Linked DNA regions of Drosophila melanogaster. The protein of the gene in region 1 purifies or fractionates together with the protein of each later gene. This does not show direct contact. Each region holds a gene or a part of one and is shown on either strand. Other genes may lie near its edges.

Evidence for each region.
Region 2: the proteins of Ilp6 (region 1) and ImpL2 purify together in Drosophila melanogaster (affinity purification with western blotting, with the first as the bait; one study listed by BioGRID). This does not show direct contact.
Region 3: the proteins of Ilp6 (region 1) and Sdr purify together in Drosophila melanogaster (affinity purification with western blotting, with the first as the bait; one study listed by BioGRID). This does not show direct contact.

Annotation. Positions count from the first base shown.
Region 1 is NC_004354.4:2,328,506-2,338,995, reverse strand, and holds Ilp6 (Insulin-like peptide 6), read left to right. Parts: upstream 1-4,337; 5' UTR 4,338-5,676; intron 5,677-6,085; exon of another isoform or gene 6,086-6,457; intron 6,458-6,587; exon of another isoform or gene 6,588-6,720; intron 6,721-6,856; coding exon 6,857-7,070; intron 7,071-7,148; coding exon 7,149-7,258; 3' UTR 7,259-7,503; downstream 7,504-10,490. Other genes in the region: CG2854 (uncharacterized protein), read right to left, coding at 10,143-10,490. UniProt on the Drosophila melanogaster protein: Possible ligand of InR/insulin-like receptor.
Region 2 is NT_037436.4:4,220,998-4,229,452, forward strand, and holds ImpL2 (Ecdysone-inducible gene L2), read right to left. Parts: upstream 4,954-8,455; 5' UTR 4,896-4,953; coding exon 4,887-4,895; intron 4,710-4,886; coding exon 3,930-4,709; intron 3,855-3,929; coding exon 3,840-3,854; 3' UTR 3,713-3,839; downstream 1-3,712. Other genes in the region: CG43367 (uncharacterized protein), read left to right, coding at 1,194-1,371, 1,430-1,595; CG46460 (uncharacterized protein), read right to left, coding at 5,684-5,779. UniProt on the Drosophila melanogaster protein: Essential developmental role during embryogenesis, in particular the normal development of the nervous system. May be involved in some aspect of cell adhesion.
Region 3 is NT_033777.3:14,914,490-14,926,044, forward strand, and holds Sdr (secreted decoy of InR), read left to right. Parts: upstream 1-4,138; 5' UTR 4,139-4,388; coding exon 4,389-4,940; intron 4,941-5,018; coding exon 5,019-5,556; intron 5,557-5,614; coding exon 5,615-5,762; intron 5,763-5,823; coding exon 5,824-6,219; intron 6,220-6,282; coding exon 6,283-6,499; intron 6,500-6,551; coding exon 6,552-6,808; intron 6,809-6,878; coding exon 6,879-7,377; 3' UTR 7,378-8,594; downstream 8,595-11,555.

The DNA.
Region 1 (10,490 bases):
AAGTCCCCGTGTTCACGGTACTTTCTGGACGTTTTCAAGGTCACCAGCCGGCCACCCAACCAGCCAGCCAGCCAGCCAGACGGATGGTAGACGGCGCCCCAACTCCCGATTTCCGACTCCAGATGGCCGACCCCCGCAGATTACGAATACGAAGACGGTTACGAAGCCGGAGAGTCCGGGAAAACAGATTAGAGATGGGATTTGTGGGTCAGTGGTTCCTATTTCATTGACGGATGAACTGAAATCGAGCCAACCTTGAAGTGCCGAGTAAACAAACAGTGTTTAGCTTATAGTGCTCATATTGAATCCAATCCACTAGACTTGCGAATTCCTCGAAGGACTCCAATCTTTACTTATCTCTAGTTACTTCACTAGTTCACACTCTCCATGCGGTTTTTGTTTTTGTTGTTGCTTGCTACTTGTCCGCGAATTTGGATAAATGCCCTACTAACTCATGGTGTTATTTATTTGACACTTTTAAGTGCTCCGTTTATAAATTTAGAAATTGGTTTTATGTGGCGAATTAAGGAATTCACTTTAAGACCCTAGTTGATTGTCCACTTTCGGTGTTAACCGAGTTCAAGGCCCCTTGGCTTTCTCGCTGTTTCGGTGGGTTCAATTCCAGTTCAGCACTCCTTGAACCACAGAGTTCTGTGTGCCAAGCGTTGACCTTGAGTCCGCCCATCCGCCCAGCCGTTCAGCCGATTGCAGTTCATTGGCAGCTGGGAAAACCAACCACCGCCCACCGCCCACCATTGTGGAGGCCAACAAGAAGTATAGCCAGCAAATGTGTGTCTATGCCCGCTGGTGGCTGCCACCATCGATTGTTGCTCTTTAGCCCAAACACCCAAGCCCCCAAGCAACCACTTCGCCACTCCGCCACCCACCACCCACCACCCACAGCATCAGGCATCACCGCAGCATGCTGTTGTTGTTTTTTTGGGGTCGTTGGCGACAGTTTATTGACATCGGGCGATAATTTCGTGAGCTGTTTTTTTTTTTTTTTTTTGGCACAGCTCCCGAGTGAAAAAAAAAAGAGGAACAACAATAACAGATTCTTGAATATTTAAATGCGAATTGAAATGGACATCAAATATGCAAAGGTGTGTTACCAAAGCAACGCAGCGGATATTCGTAATCCACCCTTGGGAATGAATACTATTTAATTATTCATTTACAAATTCCTGCCATAGTAGACAAATATTAAGAAGTAACTTATTATGAATATGTTATTCTTTAAATGGCGCTAAATAAGCTCGAAATCAATGTTGCTACTAAACGCAAATCATTATGAACCAATTTACTGGCACACTTCAGCTGAGCGGAACATTGTCAAATCTTCATTGTAACCAGTGGACAAAAAGTCCATGTCATTTGATTGGTAACCCCATCCAGGAATTTCGCATTAGAGCCAGTTCGATGGAACTTGCGGCTTAATTGCAAAGTTCAATTCGCTAGAATGGGCATTTGATTTGTTATTGCTCTTGTTTCTCTTTGCCCCTATAATGCGAGTACGATTGCAGACTGTTGTCGCCGATGTCTAGGCTTTTGGTATCAACAACAAACCTCCTCCACGCTTCTGGGTCAATAATCTGCGTCTGAGCTACAGCTTCGTGCTGTGAGTTGCAAACTGAGAGATGCGAGCTGCGAGCTGCGAGCTATAGATTCGCGATGTCTTGGCGTTGGCGCCCGATCGCAGATGTCAATCAATGGAGATCCAATTTTAGCACAAGTAAACAATATTCGCTGCCGCGTGGGAAGTGTTGGTGGGAGGGGGCTGGGGATGGTGTGTGTGTGTGTACTGGGTGGTTGTAGTGGGAGGTGGACCTGAGGCGCCCCCCACTTGCGGCTTATCTGCAGCGCTGGCTAAAGGAAAAAAACCAAGAGGCCGCTCTTGTTTCCACCACTCACAACTGCGATAGCGGTTTATCCAACATACGAATCAAATGTCTTGGGCCAATAAATAGAGTAGCCCCCAAATCCACTAACTTGTTTATATAGGCTCCACTACCGCTCCAGTAGTCATGATTCACCAGCGGGTTTTCCAGCCAGAAACGGGGTATATTTAAGCATCCTTCCCAATCCCGAATCGTTGACCGTGTGGCTCTGCCCACCTTGGACTCTGCCCCGCATCGCGTATTGCGTATTGCCCAAGGCACTGAGATCTCCGATCTCGCCGATCCTCCATCCGTATCACACCAGCCCGACCATTTTCAATCGCCGCCTTCTGCAGTCTCTTCCCAAAACAACAGATGGCATTCCTACCTATGAAGTTTCCTGAAAGTATCTGCACTCATAAATTCCGAAGGAATCAAGGAATTGAAAACTCGAAGGTTTGTTAACAAACATATGTACATATATTATTTACTCAAATTTGGATAGGTACGTCATTGTTGTTTCTCTCAGTATGTAGATGAAGTCTTTGCTTATCTTTCGCGATGACTTAGCGCACAGGGCCTCGCACCCCCCATTCCCCCTTATCACTTCGCACCATCTCTTTCTCTCCTTACTCAACTCTCTCTCTCTCTCCCTCTCTCTCCGACTTCACCGCTCTGTTGTTTTTCCCGACGGAGTGCCAAGAGTAATGCTAAAAATAGAGATCTTTTATTTTGAATTGAAACTAGATCACGACGAATTCACGTTGGCGTTGTTTACGGTTTTTTCACTGATATATGCAGGCGTTCCCAACGTACCGCCAATCGCCCCCCGCCCCCCTTTCCATCCACTGACCCGTACCGCCCCCTTTTGGGCTGCCCCATCGGCTTCCGTTCTTCATCTTCGTGCAGTAGAAGTCGCACTCGCAGTTCCAGCAACAAAAACATCAACAAGCTTATCGCCGAATCATTATCTGCAAGCCAAGCCAAGCCAAGCCCAAGACCCCGTCGTATACAGGGTATATTTGGTCGTATATAGGGTACTCCCAGGGTTTCAGACCCAAATTGCTTGCATCTTCCACGGGATATTAATTGATTAGTATCTGCCCCAAGTCAATAGAATATCCCTAAATTACAGTTTTTCAAATGAAAATCATCGTTTTGGCCAAATGAGCGTTAACAAGTGTCAATTACATACATATATTCGTGAAAATTGGGAGCAAGGGTTGCGGAAACAATGTGAATAAAAAACTATATATGTACGTATGTACATACATACATAGGTATGTATGTATGTACATATGTATGTAGCTTGGAGTCCTCTAAGCGAGTGAACTTTGTCGCTTTGACGAAGCGGCAGCGTTAATAGGGAAAATGAAAATCAACAAGTGCATATATGGAGCGTGGACTGGATGCTGCTTTTCCACTGATGGATTCACTCTATTTATTGTTGTTGTGCCCGCTGTTGCTGTGTGCATTTGTCGCACACACACACACCACACCCACATGGGCACCCACACACTACCGCACAAGCGGTGTTTGTGTGTACTTTGTTCAAAGGCGATCTTATTAATATGATTATTCCATTGTATGCTTATACAGTCCGACATTCCTAACCCGAACTATCATCATGCGCTCTTTTAGACTCGGTTTCGCACCAATATACTCCACAGTCGATATTTTGGAGCCCCAAATCCCAATCCCAATCCCTGACATCCCGACATCTGACTCACCACTGCCCGATGACTATATACATATGTACATACGTATGTTTATTATGCGATAATCGCATAATTCCTAAATTTGCAAACGCAGCTGGACGTCAACAACCCAAAACGCAATTCTGGTTGATATTACCATTTGAACTTTGACTGAAGCTCCTCCAGCTAGCTACTTACATACATACATACATACATATGTACATATGTATATTGATGGTATGACTAGAGACGAAGATTAGGTTAATGGAGTTAAGATTTAGAGTAATGGGAAGAGAAGCAGTAAGAATTATGTTATCACTCTGGAAAACCGATCTGGCCCCAAAGAAACATCTTGACCCACAAAAGTTCGGCGTACTGACGTTGCCCTGTATTAATGCTCTCAAACACTCAAGCACTCACACAATCAATCACACACTAATACACCCGCAAACACTCGGACCCATGGTGACCCAAAGTTGATTGAATGTGTCATGGCCGGCAAATTGTTTAATTTTAAGCATTTGTTTGTGCTTACTGTGTTTTTTGTTTTTTTTTTATATATATTTTTTTTTTTCGTTTTCGTTTTCCTTTTCGCAAGACACTGGACTTTGCTTCCAGAGACTTTGCTGTCTCGCTCGCACTTCCACCTGCAGTCCACGTGCTGCGCATTCGCTGCATCCTGCTCTCTCATTCGCACGCGCGTAAAGTGAGGCTTCGTTTTGCGCTGGCGTCGCGGCAACGGTTCTTTTCCAATTTGGCTGTGAAACAACGAAGAACGTTCTTCCGAGCGAGCGAAGAATTCGCTAAGAGTGCAATTAAAAGCGTGAAAAGCGGAAGAAAGGCAGTGCGAAGAACGGTCTTCCTGGCAAACAACGAGCGAGTAGAGTTCGTCAAGAGTGCAATTAAAAAAAAAAGTGTAAGATCCGACGAGCGAGAAGAGTTCGTCCGAAGTGCAGCGAAACGGGTGGAAGTGAAAGAAAGTGCAAGAAAGTGGTGATAAGACAGCATCTGCATCTAATTATAGATCCCACTGGTGGTCTAAAAATAAACAACCGCAAACAACGGCAAACAATTGGAGAGTGTTTTAAACAGCTGTTGGATTCGGATTCCGATTCGGATTCTACTCTCTCCCGGCGAAAGAGATAGAGATAAGGACGTGCAGAGAGCCAGCCCAGCGACACATGAGCGAAGAGTGAGCGAGAAAGAGACAGAGACTGAGACTGAGACCGAGGCAGAGGCTGTGGAAGGGAGATCGCGGCAGATAGGAATACGAGATACTCCGAAGAAAACGGCAGCTTTACGTTCCAGCAACCAAGCGTCTAGCTTCCAAAAGCGTTTTCAATTCCAAGCCAGTCGCAACGACAGCGGAATACCGCTACAATTCGCACTCTCAGTCGACTGCCCTCTCACTCACTCACCTCCTTCTCCTGCGGCCCGAGACGTATACCCGCACTCTTCTGTTCCTGCCACAATACTTCACGCGATGAAACAACAACTGGCGGGCGCAGCAGCAGCAGAAAACGCAGCAGCCGCAACAGCAGTCGAAAACGCAGCAGACGCACCAGAAGTTAACCACTTGCTCGATTTTCCACACTCCGAACGCCAATCGATTTTAAAAGGACATTGATCGAACGTCAATCGCCAAACTCACGGATATTTATCAATTCGCCTTTTTTTTTGCACGTAAAAACCCTAACAAACATTTAAAAAAAAAAAAACCCAAACGAATCCCACCAGAAAACGATAGTTACCCCTTATTATTAGTCGTTTTGTTTTGTTTTTTCGTCAATTGATTGTGATTTTGAAACTGTGTGATCGCAAAAGAAAATCTGCAAATTAGCAAAAAAAGAAAGTTCCTTAAGCAAGTGATAATCCGATAGAAACTCTAAAGACAGAAAAGGAAAGGAAGCGCCGGAGAAAAGAGACAAAATATACACGAAACTAAAAGCTCCCAATATCAGCACCATATATATATTTTATAGTCCACGAAATCAAACAAAACATAAATATCATAAGTCACTCTTAGTCATTCGTCATCGAGGACTACACTACTAAGGAAACTAATTAATACTACAAAAACAAGGATTAAACGGCATGCAAACGTAAGTTCATATACTACACATATATATTCATTCATATTATATAGGATCGGATTTTCTAAGAAACACAAGTTCAAAGTTAGGACAGAATAAGACGGGTATGGATTTCTACCAGAAATGTCTTATCACGCTTGTTTTTCAATTTCATAGGCATAGACTTTAAAAAAAAAAAGAAGAAAAAAACATGGAATCCGCCATAATCTTTATTTTAAATCAAAGTCGCACAAGATTAAAAAAATTGAAGCCCTTCAAGGATGTGAGAAGTGTAAGACCTCCAGCCCCTTGAACCATCCAATCACTAGAGATTGACACAAAGACAGCCTTAACCTCTTCTCGATTCTTATCACGATGAAAACAAAACTCGAGCCGAGATCGGTTCTTCCCAAGGAAATGAAACCAAACCAAACAAACAAACAAACAAACAAACCAACCAACCAACCCACCAACCAGCCGAAATCAGCCAAGTGGTGTGCGACATCTAAATATACACCCATGTACTCGTCTATATCGCTGTGAAAACGAAAGCGACAGAAGTGGAAAAACATTGAACCACATTACTATATATGGAGTGTGGTTGAAAACCGAGTTTCCAAAGGAGAGTCATAAAAGCAAGCAATATCAAAAACAAAAAAAAAACCAAACAAGCCACATGGGGCATATGCCCCACGAACACCCAATCCCGCTCCATCCCCCTTTCATTCGAGTCACTACGACTTTCTGATTGTGTATAAAAAGAACTCATGTTCCAAATGATAAGTGGGGAGCCCAGCAAGGCGGCAAATCGGTGGGTTATTTTTAAACACTGAAGTTTATGTAAATATATTTCCTGGCCAGCCCAGACACAAACAATAACAGAATCGAATGGAAAATACAATAATATTTGAGCGTTGTTGCTGATAAGGCAACCCAGCCAGAAACCAGAGACCAGAGACCAGGGACCAGGGGATCAGGCGCGTGCGCGAGGCGGAAGAGAGATGGGGTAGTTATCTGGCCGGCTCCGAAGAACCGTGTCCTTTGACGATCCATGGCCATGCTGAAGCCACACAGGTTTTTTTTTTTTTTTGGGGGGGGGGGGGTGGGGGCTATGCGGGGGGATGACAGTGACATCAGTCATATCCATGGGCACACTGCCTCAGCGATTCAGAGCGTTGTTAAGCAATCTAACAATCTGTGCCCATTGCAGATGGTTCTCAAAGTGCCGACGTCCAAAGTCCTGCTAGTCCTGGCCACCTTGTTCGCCGTGGCGGCGATGATCAGCAGCTGGATGCCCCAGGTGGCGGCCAGTCCGCTCGCACCCACGGAATACGAACAGAGACGCATGATGTGCTCCACCGGCCTCAGCGATGTGATACAGAAGATATGCGTAAGCGGAACGGTGGCCCTTGGCGATGTATTTCGTAAGTGTGTCCCATGATTCTTGACATTTCGACGAACTCTAATCTCAAACAAATCCCGTCCCCCTCCACCCTACACAGCCAACAGTTTCGGGAAGCGCAGGAAGCGCGACTTGCAGAACGTAACCGATTTGTGCTGCAAGTCGGGTGGCTGCACCTACAGGGAGCTCTTGCAGTACTGCAAAGGATAGTGAAGGATTCACACGGTGGCCCGAGCAGCCACAAACCACTCCGCCAATTCCGCCACTCCGCCACTCCACCACTCCACCACTCCGCCACACCCATCCACTGCAAATCAATTTACACCACTCCCATCATTCGTAATCCCTAAGATATGAAGCGCAAGCAGCAGTGTCCCCTAGAGTATACTAAGTATATTTACTAATTTAACTATACACTAACTAAATTCTGTACAATAAAAGAAATTTGAAGTGAGCGCGAGCATGTAGCGTAGGTATCCAAATGTAGTATGTAGTAGGACCACATAGTATTATGCAATTTTCCGCTCCAATTTTGAGATCTTTCCAAGTCGTGCCCATGCCACTGGGCACACCCCTTTCATTAGACCCATCTATTGTGGGCGAAATCTATTCATGGCGACACTCGAAGAGATTGTCATGGTTTTGAGTTAGGGTTTCGGATTTGGGTTTGGGTTTCGCATTTCGAGTTTCGGGTTTGGGTTTGTTTCATTCAACAAGCACACCACCACCCTTCGAATGGCCATTGGCCAGGCCACCCACCCCATTTAAATTGAATGCCGGGCGTAAAACTTTTGCAAAGGATACTCGCAAGCTGAGTGCGAGTGCGAGCACCCACAGTATATGGGGTCAAATGGTGATGAGATGACTGCAAATTAGATTACAAACGCTGACGATGATGATTTTAATGATGGTGCAAATCAGGCACACATGGGAGTGGCGAGTGTGTACCTCAAACCCCACTTCAGCTGCAAATCTCTATGGGGACAAGAAGTGCTCGCCTCTTCTCTGGTTCGGCCAAATGAAAAATCGAGTATATAGCACTTGTAGTTCGGATGAGTTCGCATTTGGATTTGTATCCTGCATCCGCTGGCTTATATTTAGTAAAAAAAAAAAAGAGAAAAAAAGGTACAAATGTTTATTGATTGATTGATTTTAGACCAAATGTTGCACATGCTTATTTCACTGCTGATGATTTGTTAAAGTTCAAGAAATTACTGAGCTAATTTGTAACATAGCCGGTGTTTCAAGGCTCGATTTGGTTAATCCGAGACTACGAGTCCGGTGTGTAAAATTTTCAATTTATACTGAATTTCATGTTAGGCACGAATCCTTTAACGCCTAATGTAGTATCCTCGGTAGTAGAGGGCTCGGCTGACGAATCCATTTTGAGGCCTCGGTATCATTTTGTTAGCTTCGATGGGTGGAATTATTGGATCGCCCTGCTGAAAGTCACTAATATTACCTTCGGAATTTGAGGTTTCATTGGCATTGAGGGGGCCCTTGGTCGAAGGAAGGGGTAGGGGTTTCTTGATGCTCTATTGGAGAGACGATGGATTCATTGGCCATCTTCTTGTCATCTTGCAAACACTCACCTGCAGCCTGGACAGAACAGAGTCACGGAGTTTACCCAACCAAAGATTTATTTTAGCCATAGAAACGGATCTCGAAGAAAACTGAAAAACGAGGGCAATCGTAATCGAATCGAATGGAATCGAATGTAGAACCGTAGAATTTAGATGTTTGCATATGCTTAACGTTGTGGAAAATCTATTCGTGTGCTAGTGCTCGTAGTTGTGCTCTGAATATGGGAGCAGTAATATAAAAGAATTTGACAGTTGAATTCGTTTAACTCATGGACTACTTGAAATTCAAGGAAATTCAGAAAGTTCCTCAACCGGAAGCGGAATAAGTATGTGTTTATATCTCCCAATATTTCAGAAATGTTAAAGATCCTTGATATTAGAAAGTCATAACTCATGCCTAAGAGCAAATTGAAAAGGAAAAGGATTCTCCACCCAGTGGACACGGACACGCGACGGATAATGTGGGTCGGAGGTGGATGACAACGTCTGGAAATCGAGTGGGTGCCATGTGGGATGCCACCCCCCCCAAGAAGGATAAGCGACACCAGACAAACTTCGCCGGGCAAACCATCCCCATGCCCAGCGCTCGACATTGATGGAGCGAAGCCATGGAACATTAGCTAAATCTTACAGAAATTTCGCACAACGTGGCGAAAACGAAGGGTGCGGGATCCATGGGCTTCGTCCGCCCAACAAGACCATTCCACTCCATTCGCCCCTTGACGGGGTTGCAAAGGAAAACATAGCTCAAAGGGTCGTCATGCACTGCGAAAAACTTTTGGCTAACCAACTGAAACTGCTCTCAGTTTCCACGACAAGTAAATGGTTAGAAGTTCTAGTAGCTCATACTAAGCACTTAAATGTTCCATTGATACGCTTTCATTAAAAAAAAAAAAAAAAACAGCTTTCCTTTTTCTCTATCTGCAGGGATGCGATGGCTGGAAATGGGTAGTGGCAACAGAAGTCGTACGGGGACACGTTCAACCCCAGAAGGCAAGGCAACGCCAAACGAAAAGTACAGGAAAATCCCAGTCATTCGGGCAAGAGTTGCGAACTTTGGTTCAGTAGTCCTGCCTGTGTGCTCTTTTACCAGAATGTCCTTCTATTTATGCATTTAGTTCGCCCGAAAAGCCTAAAGAATGTAATGAACCAAGAAGGAAATTCAGCTGGCCAGCCTAATGTAGCAAAATATCAATCCAAACCAACGCAGGCACACAATAAAAATTACCTGAATAAACAATGATTCCAGCGCTGACTCGGTAAAATAGCGCAAAGACACTGGCCACTGGATAAGGAACAATCAAATGATGCGCGGGATCAATGGAAATAATAAATGAACAATTGCAATCGATCAATAGCAACAAGGTAAACCAAAACCAAATACCCAACGACACAGAAATAAAAAAAAAAGTCGCCGGAATGTCGAGTTGAACATTTAAAAGCGTAAGCCCAAACCTTTCAATTTATCTACCAATTTATGCAATTTAAGTGACACAACCCAGCAGGATGCGCTACTTCTCGCGTGACATAAAGTCCCAGGGAATGCAGACGATGCCATCGGTGGGCACTGACCAATAGTTCGTGATGTGCAGACTGAGACCGCGACAGGACTTGACGCCACTCTGAAGCAGATGCCGTATGGCCATGACCATCTTGTCCGGCGTTACAGAGTCGTCCTTGCTGAGTCGCTGCAAGCCAAGTTCCTCCTGGCACTGTCGCCACAATTGCCGCTCCACCTGGATATCCCTGCGATAGCGACTGAACCGCCCGCTGGCCACGTCCAAGTTCCGGCATATGAACTCCACGAGATCGGGTCCGGAGCAGGAGGCCGGGGCCAAGAAGAGACCGGTTTGGCTAAC
Region 2 (8,455 bases), on another chromosome or scaffold:
GGACTCTTGGAAATTGATATACCACTGCCATGCGGAGATATACCCCCATTCCCTTCCCTTTCGTCTCCTTCGTTTTTTCTTGCCTCCAGTAAGCCGAGTATATAGACGGCCATAATGCATATAATGTAGCCACTTGCAGCCGTCCGTCCGCTTATCGACTGAATTAATACACACTTCTGATTATAAATTCGCAACATCCGGCTGCGATCGATTCAGAAATATGGAAATCGAATCGAAAAACGTCAGTCGCGGTTCATTTTCCAGGGCAATGATGGGCACTTAATTGCGTTCTTGTCGGGGCCCCAATCAATTACATAGCCGCTAACGAAGACCCGATCCCATCCATTGATTGACTATCAGTCCGCAACGAACCCACCCATACATACGCATCCATATGCCCGATCCGTACGACACTCGGTTCTCTGGCATTAACCCAACGTCGTTAATGGAATCAAATCGGAGGGGCGAACGAATCGCGCGTCACACAGTCACACGACCAGCAAGTCCAACCCCCCCCCCCCAACACCATGTGCTCCTCCGATCCCCCTCAGGCCACCCATGTGCCCCAGCGATTCATTCATTTTTAAATTCCTAAGACGCAGCAGAAAATTTATGAACTAGTTGTAGTAAATTTCGACGGAAAGATCAAGATATACGTATATACTTTATATACAGATATCAACTGTGAGAGTTTGGGATTTTTTTTGTTGAATGAACTACTCGTACAAGATTGGCCAAAACCAACTGGGCACGGTTTATACTAGTTATTTCTGTGCGCGTGGCCGGGTCACTTTAGGAAGTTCATTCAGATCCAATCTAGGCTATTTAGTGGCTCTTCCTTCTGAACGCGTTTCGCTGGGTGGCATTGGCATACAGATACATTTACAGATGCAGAGATACAAGTGCCGCCACATAACACGGATACTTGTGTAGATAAGAGCAACTACGCATTGCTCGGACTTGTAGTATGTAGTATGTCGCCATGTGATAATGTTTTTATGCGATGTCAGGTTATCAGCAGACCAGAGTGGGCCGGACCTCGTCTAATAGCATAATGGCATTTCCACTGCGTAGATTAACGCCACTACGCCCTGCCCCACATTCTGTCATCTGAGCTGATATGATCAAAGAATGCTTCACATGATTGAACCACAATTCTGATTGCTCTTCTTTTCTGTATCCTTTACACACAGGTCACATTGCATTCAGTGCTCTGGATGACACCTCGCACTCGGTGCACGTGTACAGCATCAACGGCTGCAGTCTGGGCTCCAAATACGTTTCTGGCAGGGTGACGGGATTGGCTAGTGCCTCCGACTACCTGGTGGTGGCCGACGATGCCGGCGATATCACCATGAGCAGACTACACGGGTAAGAATTGTAATATAGCACATTTGTTACTGACTTATTTTACCTTCTTCTTTTCCAGCTTGAAGCCCGTTTTCGACATTCCCCTGCACGTGCCCATCCAGACGGTGGTGGTCACTCCGGGCAACACCCACATTCTGGCGCCGCTTCGAGATGGACGCTTGGCGGTGATCGCCGTGCAACTGCCCTCCGGCGGCAATAAGAAGCATTCCGTGCTAAATGTTTAGGTTCAGCAGGAGCTGGAATGAACACTGGCTGACCTACTGAATTCCCGAATTTTACCCTCTGCGTAGCATAAGTTGTAGTCGTTCTAGTTTCCTTCGTTCTGCTTTTAGCGCACCCTAGTTTTATTTATTGTGTCTTGTGTCATTTGTCATGATTTATTTCCTATCTGCTTCCCATGCTACGTGACGTGCCAAAAGCAAAGCGCCTTTGACCAACTCAAAAAATTCCCAGAAAGTTGACAAATGTATTTAGAGGTATTCAGCAAGTCGATCGATTGCATTCGCGGAATTTCCATGCCAACTAAGCATTATTTCCCCATCACATGTGCGTGTACACCTGTCTGGGTCGGCGATCCTCCATCCTGGGCGGCAGAAATGATGGATGGCACACTCCCCTTCTTCGCTTGATGAAAATCTGAATGAATAATCAATCATTCCATTTGTGGCGGTGCGGAGAGATAGCTCGGCAAATGGGACGCAGGAGACGGGAATTGGAGACGGAAAACTGGTTGTCGACGCACTTGGCAACTACAACTACTTCTCTCTGACTCACGAGCGACTTTCAAATTGGCCGAAATACAAAGAAAAAGAATTAAGACCGAAAAAAAAAGCGCCCGGCAACAGCGGCAAGGCGCTTAAAAAACGGCAACCGTTCGCAGAGATCGACGGCATCCAGCTGCTCGGTTGATCAAGAGAAACACTTTCGTTGCGCCCCTTTTCGCCTGCAGATACAACCAAAAATAGAGCCCAGAGATCTTTGTCCCATTAAGTACGCACACTCGGATCGCATGGTATTGCTACCCAATCATTAACAGAGCATTTCCAATTGAAGTATTATCACCACAGCACGATCACAGTCCGTCCACACAGATCCGAGATCCGCATAGGCAGACAATACCCAATACTTGGTGCGCCAGAGCAAGAGATTCTATCTATTTCCATACCACCCAGTACGAGTACCAGCACCAGCACCATTCCGATCACCAAACTTTCTGCCTTTGATCTTACGCGCCAGCGATTGTGAAAAAAAAACCCCTCACAGACTCTGAAATCTGAATTTCCAAAGACATGCGACAATATCAAAGGTGACTTGAGAACATACATATATATTTTACGAATCGTAATCGCATATATAGTATAGAACTTTCGCACAATCGGGTCGTGAGATTAGCCCCCGCTTTGGAGCCAACCTATCAATATCTATCTACACCAGCAATATATAGTATATCATCTGTGTACGTAAAGGTCCTCCGGATCGAGATCGTTATTTGTTGTTAAGATCGTATTGCAAAATATGGCAAAACTGTTTTACCCGTTCAATGTATGTACGTAACTGTACGAGTTTATGTAGATAATGTGACTATTCGTAGTTTGTAGATCCGTCAATAAAGTGATGAAAAGTGTATGTACTCGTAGCTGCTCGTTTTATTCACCCATTCAGCCCATTGAGTACTTTTGTTTCAATTTTCTTGTATTTATTCAAAAACAATCGCTTGAAGGTTGGATTAAAACTAACACTAAACAATTAGAAAAACATATTTCAGTTCTATTACCTTATAAATTAAAACATAGTCGGGTAGCTTATGAAACTGATTAATTCCGTGAATACTATTCAGTGATTCTGTATGGGTGGCGATGCTGAATGAATTTGGTCGATCAATAAATTAGTTGTAGAAATGATGGGTGCACATAAATACGAATTGGGTGGGTGATTGACTGATTGATTGGTTGATTGACTGTGGCTTGTGCCACGAGTCATAAGTGCTTCTTGGGCTGCAGTGCCCTTAAGTAAACGGCCAATTAGTTTAAATACGTTAACTAGTGCTGCCTGAATCGCTAGGAACAATCATTGCTACTTACAAAGAACCAAAGAAGCGTGATTACAAGCCGATAACTAAAGCTATAATTGAAGAAAACCATAAAGTAGGTGCTATAATTCGAATGCTCTAAATGTGACTGATATTCGAGGATAATAAGTGGGAAAATTAGTGTCTAAGCCGGCATTAGATACGGTTAATTACCTGGACTACGAGCTAGATTGTGCTTAATCTAAATTGTACATAATTGTAAATCGTATGACCTTTTGATCCATCATATTTTTTTTTGATTTTTTTTTTTTTGTATTTTTTCTAAGCATATTTCATTTCTTTTCACGCATCTTCGAAGGCATTTGATCTATCTAACTAACTAGATGAATTTCCGTCGTCAATCCAATAGCCTTTTGTTTTTTATTTGGTGGTAGGATCTTTAGTCTTCCTCATTCTGCAAGGACAAGAAAAATACGTAGGGATTACTTAGGATGAGTTGGTATAACCCGGCGGGTAGGGGAATACTTACAAGTACGGGATACACGAAGGTATCGGCGGTATCCTTTCCGACGACGTTGCGGGCTATGCACTTGTAGTTGCCCATATCCTCCCACTTGATCTCGGAGATCAGAAGATCGCCGTTGGCCAGCACCCTGTGGCGATGTCCTTGGACGATCTCCTTGTTCTCGTTATTCAACCAGGTGATCTCGGCGCGGGGACGGGCGTGCACGCGGCAGGGCAGCTGAATGTTGGAGCCCATGAGGTCCAGATGCGTCTTCTCGGTGTAGATGATTCGCGGTTTCTGGGCACCCGGGTAGGTCTTCTCCGGCGTCAGACGAGAGGAGCGAGGAGGATGCACCACAGTGCTGGCATAGATGGTCTTGGAGCCAGTGCGTCCCACACACGTGTAGGTGCGGGCCTCGCTCAGCACGTGGTCGATGATATGCGACGATCGGACGCGCACAATGGCACTGGGCGCCTCTTCGGCAACCTGGTTGGAGTCCAGATCATCGAGCTCCGAGCGGGGCAGGTGACCCACCACCCACTGGATGCTGGGCACTTGGGAGCCCATCATCTCGCAAACGATCTCGATGGTGGCTCCATCGGCCTGCTGCAGCTTCGTCGGCGGCGTCTTGGTGAACTTGAGCCAGTCGGCTTCGAAGGCTCGGTTGCGTGGCTTCTCCTCCTCCGCCTCGATGGAGTTATCCACGTCGTTGCTATCGTCTACCAGGTCCACGGCTCTTCCGCGGACAGTGGCGATGCTGCCGAACAGCAGCAGCGCTAAGGCGCACACATGTAAATTCATTTTCTGCAAGATCGATAGAGAGAGTGGAAATCGGAAGTGAGTTCAAAGTTCAACAGCGGCACTCGTACGACTCTAATATAGGTTATTAAACCCCAGAGCAACGTGATGCGATTAGCCCGACTTTTCAGCCAGTCATGCATCCCCCCACCACCCCACCACCCCACTTCCCCCACTCATCACCGCCTCCATTAATCAGGGGAGGTCTCCGAGTCTATTTCCCCGATAAGAACGCAAGGCCTTCAGTCGGCGGGCTCTAGAACATTACTAACACTTGCGAAATGTGCTAATGGCTCTCGGAGTCCGGAATTTAGATTCGGAATCCTTTTCCGGCCCCTAAGAGATGTGCTCGGTCCAAACGTAGATGAATGTATTTCACAATGACACGTCACCAGACAACAAGAATTGACAAAAGAAAATGATATAAGATTCTTGCGTGGGCCGAATCAGAGGCAGAAATCGAAAACGGAAAACGGAATGACTCGCGGAGTGTGACGTCAATTTAAATTCGAATTCTACAGCCCGATTCGGATTCACACACTCACCCACGCTTCAGCCGCAGATCAAGGGCCAATGTGTCCCCATAGTCTAGACTGGACAAACTGCGTGACCGATTAATTATTCAAATAGTTTCGAGGGTATTATGTATGTACATACGCTTGTATGTATGAATTAGTAGTAGCCCCACAAAAAGTCATTCGCCAATCGCTGGCGAATGTTGCATCAGACGGTCTTTGCCCTTCGACGGTGATTTTTGTATCTTTGGGCATTTCTACGAATTCGAATTTTGAAAAAAAAAAAACAAACGAAAAACGGAACACGAAACTGCGTTCGGCGGCAATCACCTATCTATTGTTAACGCACATTACTCACCCTTTGATTTGATTTCTTTTTTCTCTTCCGGTAAAAAATGTTTGCAAATTTCTCCCCAACGTTGGACGATGATAGATCAGGTAAAGCAGAAGCAGGTCGGCTTATCGTTATGTTATGAACGAATTTATCAGCTCTATGTTGTGATGGCTCCTGGTCTGGGCTTTCTGGTTGAAGTTGAGCAGCAGCTGGCTTAGCACTGACATAGGTCCGGCGCTGGATGCCGTCTTGGAGGTCGTGCAGCTCAGTGTTGGTGGAATCTTGGCTGCTTGCCGGTCTGTCTTGGGCGACGAGGATGGATCGTATTGAAACGTCTGGGTGCTGTGCTCGGGAGTGGCGCTTCAGGATCGGGATAAGGATCGAGTAATTGGGTAGCGGAAGCGTGTTAATCTCAGGCGGCGTAGCGAATATCTAGCTGACTACTTTGGCACATTCGATCCTCGTGGCGGTATCAGTGCTCCTTCGATGTGGACGTGGACTTGGTCTGGTACTTCTTGATGGTTGTCTGGTTGGCGCGGCACTCGTTTGAATACGCACGGTTCATCGACATTACACTCGAGTCAAGGTGTGTTGGTTTTTGGTTTTTGGGGGGGATTGCTGCTGCGAATGCGGTTCACGGCGAATTGAAAAGCGAGGATCGCGGATCGGCTTAGTTAACTTCGGATCAGTTGGCTTCGGCGGCTCTCAAAAGTCGTGTTCAACAGCTGGAAACTGTAACAGAACTGAATTGGTGGCCGCAGCGCTGTTCCATTTATATGCGACGCCGGCTCACTCACACACACACACAGACAACAGACACACACACACACACTCTCACTCACTCGCCGCTCTCTCTCTGCTCGTTCTCGGATCGTAATTCTTTATGCGACCGCCGCACCGGGAAGGTGCGGAACAAAACAGATATAACCGGACGGGGGGTTCGATTATCCGCCTCGGGATCTGTCTTTCCACCGCCTAATTGCGTCCGCAGTCCAGAGTTGGTGGTTTGGAAACTGAGGTGTCTCACAAGGATAGCTCAATGACTTTCCAGCCCATATACCATTTCATTTCGATCTTGACAATTAACATTGTCATCTTATGCAAGTTGTTGAGAACATACAACAGTGTTCGAGATCCTATGACTTTCTATCACATGTAAGTAAAATTAATTAACCCTACATATAAAGGTGCTTCACACTACTCTGTTAATATTCATGAATCATTTCGACGAAGTGCAAAGTATCAACCGTATATTATTCGTTTAGCTTACTGAATTAGCACTGTAGTTGTCAAAACCATTAATTAAAACTCCATGGTTTCGAATTCATTCGAACGAATTAATTTTGTAATCCATAACCAATCTCCCAATTAATAACCACCCATGGGAATCAGAACTTAAAGCCCGTTGACGGTGCGAGCAGCATTCAAATGTCTGGCCAAGAACAGACCACTTCTTTTTTTTTTTTCTTGGCCCAGTCTCCAGAGTGGTTGCTTAGCTTGGGGATCGGATTGGCGCAGGAGGAGGTGCAGTGGCACTGACATGGTGCAAGGTTCCATTAGCCGAGACCGTGTCTGAGTTCGAATCCGATTCCGAGTCCAAGTCACTGGCTTGTCCGTCCATCTGTCCAATCTGTCCGTGCGATCGCCTCATTGCAATCAAGTGTGAGTGCCAGTTTGTCTGCGGCGTTCGTTGGCTGAATGAGGAGCGCTGGAGGGGGAGCGGTAGGCGGATGGGGAGGTACGATACCACAAGGTACACTGAGAGAAAGGATTCGGAACTCAAGCATTGAAATGAAATCATATGTATATTTAACCATATCTTTAATCTCAGTTTACTTAAATGTTCCACTTCTTTAAAAAATTTCTTTTAAAGATATCCACGGGAACCACCGTTTTTTCCAAGTGCATTGCTGATTGGCTGCTCGTAAATGTAAGTGAACATCGGTGGCCAGGGGTGCGGTGGTCGGGGTGGACGGGGTCCAAACTAGTCTGAGCTGCCGTTGCCGGCCGGGAGCTTGGAGCTCTGAGCTGGAAACTGGGACCGCGGGCTGGGGACCGGAGGTGCAGTTAAAATGGCAGACAGACTGGCAGCCACATCGCGTGTTCGCTTTCCGCTGTTGCCGGGCGGCAGCCGCTTGTGGTCAGGATGATGAGGGGTGGGTAGGGGCATTGGGGAGGGGGGTGGCTGATACTGAGGCACCGCGACTAGTTTCTTTCTTCGCTTTATCGACAAGCCACATCGACAACTAGATTCAATTCTACGAGTAATTTATTTATTGCACGTTACACAAATCGTCCGACCGCAGACGGGTCTCTCACCGCCCCACTGAAACCCCCTCTCCACGACCATGTGTCAGCCCCCTTGCCGCCACAGCTATCCAACCCGCCCGCCCCCCTCAAGCACTTGGCAGCGGCAACGAGCCAGCCACAAAGCGAAATTCAATTGAGAGAAAAATCTTGCAGGTGCTTGAAATTGTGTCTCGTGCCGCCGCCTCTCCTTGGCCCGCCAATCCCCGCGAGCCCCAGATCAGTGCCTCCTCCGCCCCCTGGACATCTCCGAGTGCGCTGCTCCTCCGCCTGCTCCTCATCATCATCAGCCTTGGACGGCACACCTCAAAGCGCTGGCAACGATATCGTAACGCTGACGTAAGGGGCACTGAATTGAAATGGCCTTTTGATGCGACTTGGGGAGCACTTTCTACAATAGGAGGCACTGCCTGCGATCCGATCCAATCCGATCCGATCCGATCCCCTCACGTAACATTCGCCAGTGACGCGGTCAGGGGTTGCACTTCCTAGATGAGGTGGACACACGGATGCAATTGAGCGGGATCAAACGGGGCAATCAGAAATAAAAATCGGAAACTTTGAGTGTTGAATTGAATTTGATAGCCCCAATAAAG
Region 3 (11,555 bases), on another chromosome or scaffold:
AATTCCAGGCTGCAGGCGCCAATAAATTAAGCTTTATGCGTGGCTAATAGAAAAAAAAAAAGAAATGGGCAGCCACCTGAGTGCGGCGCACATATGCAAATTGTTGTGGCACTTGCACACACACACACACACACTGGCATTCAAGAATACATAAATTACGTGCTTAAGCAACAAAGGGAGAATGGCAGAAAAAGTTGCATAAAAATGTGTAAAAAATACACTATTTTTAAAACGATTTGCATTGCATGAAAGGAACGCATAAAATGGAGCTAGCAACGGGGATGGCGGCCAACGGGCTCTATATGCTCTATATTGAAATAAAAATGGAGAAATTGTGAAATGCAAGGAGGCACATGCCAGCTGCGTCGGTGTGCGACTTTTTAGCATAAACTTGAAGATCTGTGCGACGACAGGGCGTATGCGTAATGCAAGTGGCACAAAGGTTGCCCATATCCTTGTTACTAAGGGCACTTTCCGTCCTGACTTTCTGCCAGCCAACCTTTCGGCTTTATGAGGTGAGCCGTAAAATATGAAACGCTTTTGAGCAGATGCCTTAAAAATGGCAAAGGCTAACAATGGAAAAATCTGATTAAGAGTGAAGTTTATGCGCAATGGAGTGGTTTGAAAAATCAAGGCTCTTTTACAGTGTACAATGTACAATTTTCATTGCTCATTGCAATGGAAATATTACAAGAAATATGAATTTGTATTACAATATATATACCCTTTAATTTACTTGCATTCTTATGCAATAGAATGCTGGCTTTAATTTGAAAACTTTCTAATTGAAGTGCTATCGAATTTAAAAGACACACTCTTAGGCACTCATTTTTAATTTTAATTGGACTCCATTTAACGCAATTTGGTTGAACAAGACTTGTTAGCAGTTTGATTGAGATTGAAAGCTTTTTAAATTTGATTGAATTGAGGCTTGCGGAATGCACGTGCAAATGAAGAGCATTGCAATTTTATGAAGTGTGGCAAAGAAAGTAAAGTAATAGTTTTACCAAATTAAAAATGGATTTCAGTTTGTGTGTTTTATACTTGCTCGCCTCTTAAATGGATTATGTAATTTTTGATGACTACTTATGAAGTAACATTGTTTGCACTCGAATGTTTTTATTGTTCGTTATCCCAAAGGTAAAGGGAAACTCCAGTGCACTTGCTGTGTGGTCTGTTTTGGCCAACTTCTTGGACGTCTTAGTGTAGTTTTCAAGCAGATTGCTGTGTCATGTGTCCAATTGCATCAGCCAGCCGGGTTGAATATCCTGTCAGCTGCTGCGAGGTGCCACATCAATCAGGATGCAAGTGCTCCAACTGAGCGGAAAGGACTCGAGAATCCCGGGAAGAAAGGCTGATGGAACAGCTGCTGCCATTGTCTATTTGCCGGATTGCATTTTTCAGCAAACTTAATTAATTCTCCGGCTCGAGCTGTAGAGTTCGTAATAACAGCAATCATAATGGTAATGGGTCATGATGAGACAGCAGGCAGGCAGGCAGTAGCTCATTGAATTGGCAGGGCCATAAATTGCATCGACCGCTTGATTTATGGCCAACAGCCATGTGCAAGCCGCCCAAGGCCTCCTCCTAATTTGGCACTTAAATGCAGGGACGTGCGTGGGCCGCCTACTCACGGGTTGACTTATGTCCAAGTTTTCCCGTTTCCACTCTCCCATCCCTTGACTCTTCCCACTGTATTCCCGATTTTCTCAGCTTTTCCCGCTTTTCCCGGGTAGGCATATGCACACGTCCTCGCTAGCGATTCCCATCACGCGCCGCAAAATGGTGTTACGTGTTTGCCGCCTCGGATACTCTGGTGACTGGAGTCCACCGCATCATTGCCATCTTGCAACTCCCGTGCGAATTAAGTGAGTCAGAGATGGTGCTCTGCTCAAAAAAGCCATTCTAATTTCCTGCTGGCTTAAGAAAACTTTCATTTTATTATTGGAATAATTATGAAAACATATTCACTACAAAATAAAATGGTTTCGCAGTTGTAGAGCATTTTTATTAAATACTAGCTAGCTACTTCATCATCGCTGGAGGGCTGTTGTCAGTTCCCGCTGCCCCTTTGGTTGCCCCTTTCAAACGGCGCCTGTGTGCTGCTGGCATATTCAATAATTGGCGCCCCTGGTTATGGGGGCTTCCGTGGTGAGGGGTGGTAGTGGGCGCTGGTGGGGATGCTCATAGTTTGACGTGCCGCCGGAAAGGATGCTGCATTAAATTCCGCGCGTTTCACATCAGCGCAGGCTCTGCAAATTACTGCGAAAATTGATTCACAGGCGGGTGGCGGGAAAACGGAGAAAAAGAGCACATCAGCTAACGAAAAAATCATTGATAGTTATGCCTGTGTGGTTTTTTCACACGTTTACTGCGATTTTTTATGTGGGTGCAGCTGGTGATTTTGCGTGAATTTGTGCATTTTGCACTCGTTAAAAAAAGATACAGTTTATGGCAGTTTTGTTTTTAGAAATAGAAGTTGGCTTTAAGCATATTTAAAGCTAAAAATAACGTTTTATGATAAATAATAATAATAAATTACTGCCTATATTGACCATTGATGATGGTTTTATCAATTATTAACTAATTTTGAATGGATTATCGCGACGGTAACATAAATTATTATGTTTAAAATAATTTTTGGAATAGATATAATAACTAAATAATTATCCTGGGGTGAATTAGGCAGATTTTATCCGCTGTTACATATGTAATGATATATTCAAAGTACTACACTAAAGATATACCCTATAATAACAAAGTGAAAATTTGAAATTATTTCGTGCGTTTTTATGTGGTTTGCCCATTAAAATATCTAAAACAACGGGGCACAATTTTGCGCAAATTATTTATAGATTTCTATTGCTATTGTATTTAACACATAAATATATTATCTATTTTTTTGTTATTGAACAATCATTCAAGCTGCGTATTCAATTGGCATCTGACTAAATTTAGAAAATTCTTTTTCCGATTCCATTGAGCGTTACTTGCACCTTAATGAACTGCCAATTGCGCGTTGTTCAATGCTCACTACTCTACCAATTGGATTGGAGCTTTGGTTCACCCCCTCCCACCATTTTCGCTCTTATTTTCACTGTTTTTTTGCATTCACTCTAATTGAATTGTTCGCCGGTGCAATTTAATTTCTGCGCAAATGCAAAAACAAAAGGCAAAGACATGCACTCTGGGGAAAAAGGTAAAGAACGCCGGTAGGTGGCTAAGGGGAAGGTAGCTAAGGAGGAAGGGGGAAGAGGATCCAACCGGTTTGCAAATGGTTGCAAGGTCACATGGGGAGTGGGGGCGTGGCAAGGGGCTGTGGCGGTTGCAGAAGTAACAAGTGTTTTTCGGCTGACGGCAACAAGGAAACGACAATGAGAAAAACGTGAAAGGTAACAGATGCGTAAAATAATCGCTCCCCAACAAAATGAAACAGTGGCGTGCCAAGAATTTCAAAAAGGGTTTCCAGTTTTTGAATTTCATTTGTAGCTCCACAAATCGATCTATCAAAAACCGTAAAAGATCATACGAATTATCATGGTACTCTTAATCTTAATTTTAAGTTTCGTATATCACTTTTTTAATTGACTGCAAAAGGGCATTAGGGGGTTTAAATTTGATTGAGAAAACTAGAAACAAACAAATAGCAAGACCGGCAAGTATATTATTTTACGATATTGTTTTACGAAATGTTTACTTTCATTAACGTAAATATTACCAGACTGCTCCCCATCGAATCATCAGTCTTCTTCTCTCACAACAGCCACCACCTTTGATTTTCATTCTTGAGCAGTTTTTATACACCGAGTCGAAAAAATAGTTCTGGTTTTTGAAGATATTTAGATATTTATATTAGAATTGGCTCTATCAAACAATATGCTAAATATTTTATTATTGTAATAATTTTGGAAATCTGCTTAAAAGATATTTTGCTTAAGAAAAAGGTTACTAAATATGTTCGCTTTGCATACATTTTTAGGTTCTTATAAATGTCGACAAATTTGAATAGTTTTATGAACACTACACGATTTTCCGCTGGTGTAGCCGAAGGGTTTAGAGAACGAAGACGAGCGCATAAAAAAGAAATAACAGTGTGAAACAAAACCAAACAAAACAAAACAAAGTGAATGCCGAAAGAAGAGGCTAATTAAAGAGATCGAAAGCACAGAACGCTGTTCGAATCGAATGCCATCAGTCCAAATCGAATCGTTGCCGCGAACGCAGCTCTCTTCAAAAGCGGAAAAAATATTTAAAAAAATATATAGTTCAACCGATCGATCGTGCGAGAAAAACGACATTGACATTCAAGCGGGCGCGCTAATTGATCCATTGGAAGCCCCCTTAACGCCCGGGTCAAGTGCTCTCAATTGGAAGTGTCAGGTGGCAGCATGGGGCATCTGCACCCCGTTCCCAACCCCCTTCCGATCCCCATCTCGATCGCAGTTCCGTTGATACTGCTGTTTTTGGGCGCCTCATCGCCGGTTTTGGCCAGTTCCGATGATCAAACCGCCTGCGGATCGTTGGAGATAAATAAGATTGCGGACCTGCGGAAACTGCAGAACTGTACTCATGTGGTGGGTCACGTTCGACTGGCCTATGTGGATCTGACGGATGTATCCGGCAACTACAGCCTGGATTCGCTGGCCAGCAATGTGACCGAGATCAGTGACTACCTAATGGTGTATCGCTGCACGGGTCTGATCAGCCTGCAGTCGATATTCCCACGGCTGCGTATCATTCGTGGGCAGGAGCTCCTCTTTGATCAGTACTCCCTGGTGGTCTACGAGAATCGCAATCTCAGGGAGCTCGGCCTGGTGGAGTTATTGCGCATCCAGAGCGGATTCATTCGCGTCGAATCGAATCCCTTGCTGTGCTTCGTGGAAACCGTCGATTGGATATATCTAATGGGCAATGCCACTCGGCAGCACTTTTCCCTTAAAGTGAGTGAAGATATACTTGGGCATATGTTCCTTGATATTAAGCAAATATTGGATAAATAACTTTTTTATTAACCATAGCACAACAGACCGCAAAGTCAGTGCCCTTTGTGTGGTAGCCTGTCAGCGGACTTCGAGTTCATCCGGAACTCCTCGGAGCGCTGCTGGAACGTGAATACGACACAACTTCGCCCCCAACCGCCCAGACTTAAGGACTGCCCCATTGCATGTGGCCTAAACGGATGTGATAGTGCGGGCAAATGTTGTGATCACAACTGTGTAACTGGTTGCTATTCCCAAAACTGCTCCCTTTGTGCAAACTACCAGGGAAGAATGGGATGTGTCAATCAGTGTGTCGCCAGCTATGAATTAAACAAGAGGAGGTGCATCGGTCACAGGGAGTGCCGGGAATTGGGAAGGATTCCCCTGATACGCGGCTATCAGTGTGTGAAAAAGTGTCCGGGAAACCAGAAAGAGATTTTGGTCGCCAAGGGCATCATCCACTGCCAGGTGGAGTGCAACGGCGATTTTCACGTGAAGAGTGCTGCCGACCTGGAAGTTTTACAAGACTGTGTGACGATCAATGGTTCACTTACCATCGAACTCACCAATATTAAAGGTGTGTTTCATATCATATATGATATCTGTATAATTTACTTACATAATACATTTTCCAGAAAAAATTGTAGATGCCTTGGAAAATGCGTTGGCCAGTGTTAAAGAGATCACTGGGTATCTGAAGGTCATACACTCTGCACAGCTGATGTCGCTCACATTTCTTCAGAATTTGGATGCCATAAGAGGGGATAAGCTGGTGGAAAACAAGTTAGTTTGAGAGGCAAGGATTGTATTGAAATTCTAATAATATTATTTATCTCATTTTCAGATACGCCCTGTATGTAGTGAATAACTACCATTTGGAGCACATTTGGCCACCCAATCACCTGGTGATCATTCAGCGCGGTACACTATTCTTTCACCTGAATCCCCGCCTGTGCTACGAGAAAATCCATCAGCTACAGGGCTCCCTGAAAAGCGGAGAGAATATATCCGTGGCAGATGTATCCCCCAATTCGAACGGCGAACGCGTGATTTGTGGCGACGCGGTGCGCTCCCTCAATCCCAAAGTGGAGGACCTAAATTCCACTGCGGTACGCATCATCCTGGACTACATGGACTGGGAGGGTATGGAAACGCTAATAGGATATTCGTATCACTACAAGGAAGCCCCGGTGCAAAACGTGACTATGTACGATGGTCGGCATGGTTGCGGTCATGACAAGTGGGTGTGGACTCCTCGCCCTCACCAAGTTTACCTACAGTGATTCTGTTTATAATTTTCCAGCTGGCTGATGGACGTTGTGCCCAACCAGAGTCGACGTCATGTGATAAGCGGTCTGAAGCCCTACACACAGTATGCGTATTTCGTGAAGACCCTCACCAGAACCGAATATCATATTCAGATAGATGCCTACTCAAAAATCGGCTACTTCCAGACGCTACCGGATAGGCCAAGTCCTGTGCTCCGAATATATGGCAGTTCGGAAATCAGTTCCCAGATTGTAAGTACTTTTCAAAATATATCTCTCAGCTTAAAAACTTGTTCATTTCCAGCTTCTTCACTGGTGGCCACCGAGGCGTCCAAATGGAGTCATTAAAAATTATTTTGTGACCGCCGAAAAGTACAATGCTACCAAGGAAGCAAAGGACAAAAATTATGTGAATGTTGAGTTGGAAAATGCTAAAGACATCGATTGTGAGTGCGCTGGTGTACTGCCCTACTATTCAGGTCCTCAGCCAGATGACGAGGATTACTACAACAAAGAGCAAATCACCTACGAGGATGCGTTGCCCAATCTCATTTATGTTTCGTAAGACAAGAAAATATGGTTTTCTTTGAAGTTTCAATTGAAATAATATACAATATTATACCATCTATAGGCGCAATCACGACTATCGCAGAAAGGAGTTCGAAAAAGTGATTAACTATGAGCACCTGTTGTCCATAAAGAAGGATGAAGAGCCCACCAGACCGCCCACAACCACTCCTGCTCCTACAAATGCAACATTGGCTAAGGAGAGATTGGCCGCAATTAACTATGAGAATTATCGCCTGAATAGCGAGAAGAAGCAGCGGGATCTTCAGGACTTGGACCAGCACAAGTATACCATCCGACATGCCTTGCCCAAGTGCCAAAACTCCCACGCATCCGTGGTCCAGCAAGTGGAGGAAAAATGCGTGGCTGAGGAGCCCTTGAGTGGCTACGAACTTCCGGGCACCCAGCACTTTTACTGCCTCTCCCAGTTGGAGCCGGAAACCCATTACCGGATCACCATACGGGCTTGCGTCGAGGGCGTGGTCAACGGATGCTCAACTCCGGCGGAAGCTGTAATCAAGACTGCAAGCATCCAACTGGAGCGATTCATCAAGGGTGTTTAGCAGAGAATCCTCGATCGCAGACTTTCTGTATCCGCTGACAAGTGATAAATGCTAGACCCATATGACGATAGGCATGTTGAAAACTTGATGCAATATCAACCTAAATCAACGTGTTTAACATTTACTATATCTGTATTTATTGTTCTAAAAAACTTGACATAGAAGGACCGCTGGACCTCTTATTTTTCCAGACTATATATGTCGTAGTTTTACTATTTGGAATTAATTTTTTTTTTTAATATTTTTCGGTTTTTAACTTTGATTATAATTAGACTGAACAGCTTTAATGCTTTTTACTTGAATCAATTGTTAAAATGTAATGTAATGTGTAAGCCGTGTCATATGGGCCCAACTAAGTATTGTAAGTCAAGTGACTGTAGTTCCTCCAAATGTATTGTAAATGTGTAAATGCCAAACAAATCCTCGACAAGCGAGCAAATGTTTTCATCAGTGCTAATTTGACTTATCAGCTTATCAGACTTAGCCGCACGTCCTTGCAATGTGTGCCAGAGCCAGAAACCGTTCAAAGGGAAAAACCCTCACTGACAGCAGTGATTCCTGAGATCCTCAACTTGGCCCGGAAAGCGGTTACCTTTCTCTCGAGATTGGCCATGGCATAAGCCTAGGCGAAACTAACAACAGCAGGCTGCCTGGAACTTCCAACGCATGCCACTTAATATGCAAATATGCCGCAAAAGAGCTTTAAACTTTAAAACACTGACAAAAACTAGAACTAATCCCCACCATCGAAAACTGGGCGGAAAGGGACTAGGTCGAGACGATGCTTTTGCTTTCGGTGTGGAGTGGAGTCAAGTCGAGTACGTGTCATGTGTCGCCTTGTTTGTGGCCAAGTTTTCGGCGCAGCTGGAAAAGTTCCATGAAAACGTGTCCCACTCAATGGGGAAAAGCGGTTCGTGATTGACGCAGGACTAAGTATGAGCGGCGAGGGGTGAGCGGGATGCGGGAAGCTAAGGACGCTCAGAGTGCCTGCAGAGGAAAAGGATTTCAATTCTGCCGCTGACACTGACGCGCAATTTAACTACCTTAGAGGTCGCGAGTGAAGTACTCCAAAGGGGGTAACTTGGCGACTATCCCTTCGCGTACTTTGGAAGCTTCACTGCAAGAAACTCACTAGCACAAATTTAGGTCATATATAATATACTGCAATTGAAAGCCAATCAATAAAAGGTATAACATTTCATTGTCTACAATAAAATTCCCTTTAAAAATACTCAAGTTTATCATATTTGTTAGTCTAAGCTAGAGTTTCTTTTTAGTGAGCTAATACCCGCTGGCAAACCTTATTCAACCTACTGAGTGTAACTAATCTCTTTTTCAATTTTTGATGTAGCCATTTAAATCAACTGGCTGGACTTAAAGCAAAATGCTGGGCAGCTGGAAACCACTTATGCCACATCCTTTGGCGCCGTCTTTAAGTGGAGGAAGGAAGAGATATGGGGCTGTGTGTGATCTTATCCTAAACCAATTGTATTTCAATATTTCACTGTCCCCTCCTCTTCGCCCTTTGCTGTTGCACCATTTTTCGCGTTATTTCCGTTGCCATAGACGCAGTTGTAGTAGCAGCTGTAGCTGTGGTTGCAAACGTAGTCCTTGCCGTGTAGCCTCGTTATCCTTGCACTCGTTTGTTATCTATGCACTTGCCGGGCCAAGCACTTTGGGTGCGGTTCGTCGATGTCAGTGCGTCAGTTTAGCAGTTCCTCCGTCCGCCCGTTGGTCCGCCCGTCCGTCCGTCAGTCAGGCAGGCAGGCGGACAATAAAACTGAGTGCACCGCAACTCGGACTAGTGCTGTTCAATTGGAGTTTATTTAATATATGTTTATCAATTTTATTTTTAGTCCGAAAATATGTTACATACCTGACATTTGTTTTTGACCTATTAAATTGCTATAGAAATCGATACTTAAAACTACCAGTGCGATACTAAGTATTGCATGGATGGTACAGAATATGCTTACTTGCTTTTGACTTAGCCATATTTGGCTTATAACCCGCTATGTGGGCAGCTTTGCCAATCCATATGTGTGCGCTCCTCGATTGTCCTTGCCCCAACTGGAGAAACGAAAGTGTCGGCATCACCTTCACCATCGGCGCATTAAACTCTGGGTTTTCGAATTTGGATTTGGTACGGGTCGGCATGCGAGTTCTGGGTTAGTGCATTCAGTCTGGGAACGGTAATGGTAATGATGTGCACTAGTTTGGACCTGAGACATTGATATATACTGAACACCATCAGAGCTTGTGCGAGTGTGTGTGTGTTACTATAAATGCAAGTAGTTGCCAGTACTAAGGGAAACCAATTGAATAAAGATAGAAAATTTAAATTTAAAAATCAATAATATATAAAATTGTATATGAAATATTTTTAATAAGTAACTAAGTATATACTACACGTTAAACGTTAAACATTTTAAATATTTTATCATTGAAAATCCCCCAAATCCAGTTACCAAACTTGCGCATACATTAAATTCTAGGCCACCGAAAAGGTCAAGTCCTTCTTCCTGCGACAAATTTAAAGAGCTTTGGATAATCCCCGACCTACTAAGCCCCGATTCCCCCCCAAAAACACAACTGTACCCCATCTTCAGGTCAGCAGTTCGTCAGCTTCGAAATGCGCGACTCGCACACACAATTGTCCTTTTCAATGACCATTGCCATTGCTTTGTTATCCTGTCGTTTTGTCTGGCTTTAGTCACATTACAAATCCAATTGCCAATGCGAGATAAATGCGCCCGGATAATATGAACTGGCATGTGTGGGAAACGGTCACTTAGTCCACAAGGACATGTACTAAGTGACAGCCGGAGGGAAAGTGCTCGGGGGGATGAGGATGAGGGCGTAGATGGAAAGCAGCTGATTTTAATTTTAGTTAAATCAAAATGTGCTGAGGCAGGAGCCAAGTTTATTGGGCAGGACCAGCTCAACTCAAAGGACCGCCATCCGACACGTCTGGACTCTTAGTTGGTTGGCTGCAATGCGTTGGGTCATCCATTTTACTCTTCCACTGAAAGAAACACAATAATATTGTCGATATGAAGTTCATATTTATATAAATTAATATAGAAATACTATCTGCTTGTTCAGAGTAAATACAAAATGTTCACCTTATAAAAATTGTTGGTCTGTAATTGAGTGAGTGATACAATTTTGTGGCCTGCTTCATAATAAACCCATTTTGGGAATCCTACGAGTAAACAGTTTTTTCCGTACCATATGTCCTATATTTGTAGGTCGAGAGAACTTAATTGCAACTGGGGCTTTAGCTTTGCGTGGCTTTTGGCCTGACATGTGTTTGCTTTGCTTGTGATCCATAAATAATGAAAAGCGCTGAAAATAGTTTTTACTCAGGCACTAAACTCTCACGCTGAATAAAAAGTCGAGCATGAAAACAATCAGAGGTCAGATAAGTAGTTAGTTTTCCACTTAATTGTCCTGGAAATAATTTAGCCCCGCCAAGGATTTGTCCATTAAACGTGAATAATTTACCACACCAATGCATTGAGTTGATGATTTGAGTAGCCTCGTGTGTGTGACATAAGTGAAATCAATTTGACGATTTATTTAGAGCTATTATTTCGTAGGCAATAACTACAGGTTCTCTGGCTTTTCTATCCGTCGGGTTCACCGGCGTCTAACAATGAACAGTCATTGCTCCACTTTTTGCGCTAAACGATTTCGTGGAACGGGACATGACAAGTGGAAATTATGAATGGGAAAATCTAGGCCCCAAGCTTTAGGTGATTGAATGGATTTCTGCGTTGACAAGGAGCTGATCGAGTGGATCAACGTCTAGACTGCCTAAATTATGAAGTCTATATATAGGATACAAATAAGCATCGAAAAGTGTGTTTACTTACGTAAGCAGTAATCATGTTACCTCCTTCAACAAACACAAATAGGTCTCCTTTCAATTTTCAAACAACCATACCCTTGTTTGTTTTTCATCCTTTTCAAAAGCCGTTGCAAAAACTTTGCTTTGTTTAACGCGCGTTCAATATTGAAAATTACACCTTAATTAAGTGCTATGCACGCATTGCAAATGTCAATAAACCGCTTAGCCCAAAAACCAATATCCTTTTGCACTTGTCGCAGTTTCCCCTCCTCGTCCACCTACCCACACCTGTGCTAGTGTCTGTCTGCAAATATGAACAAAACAG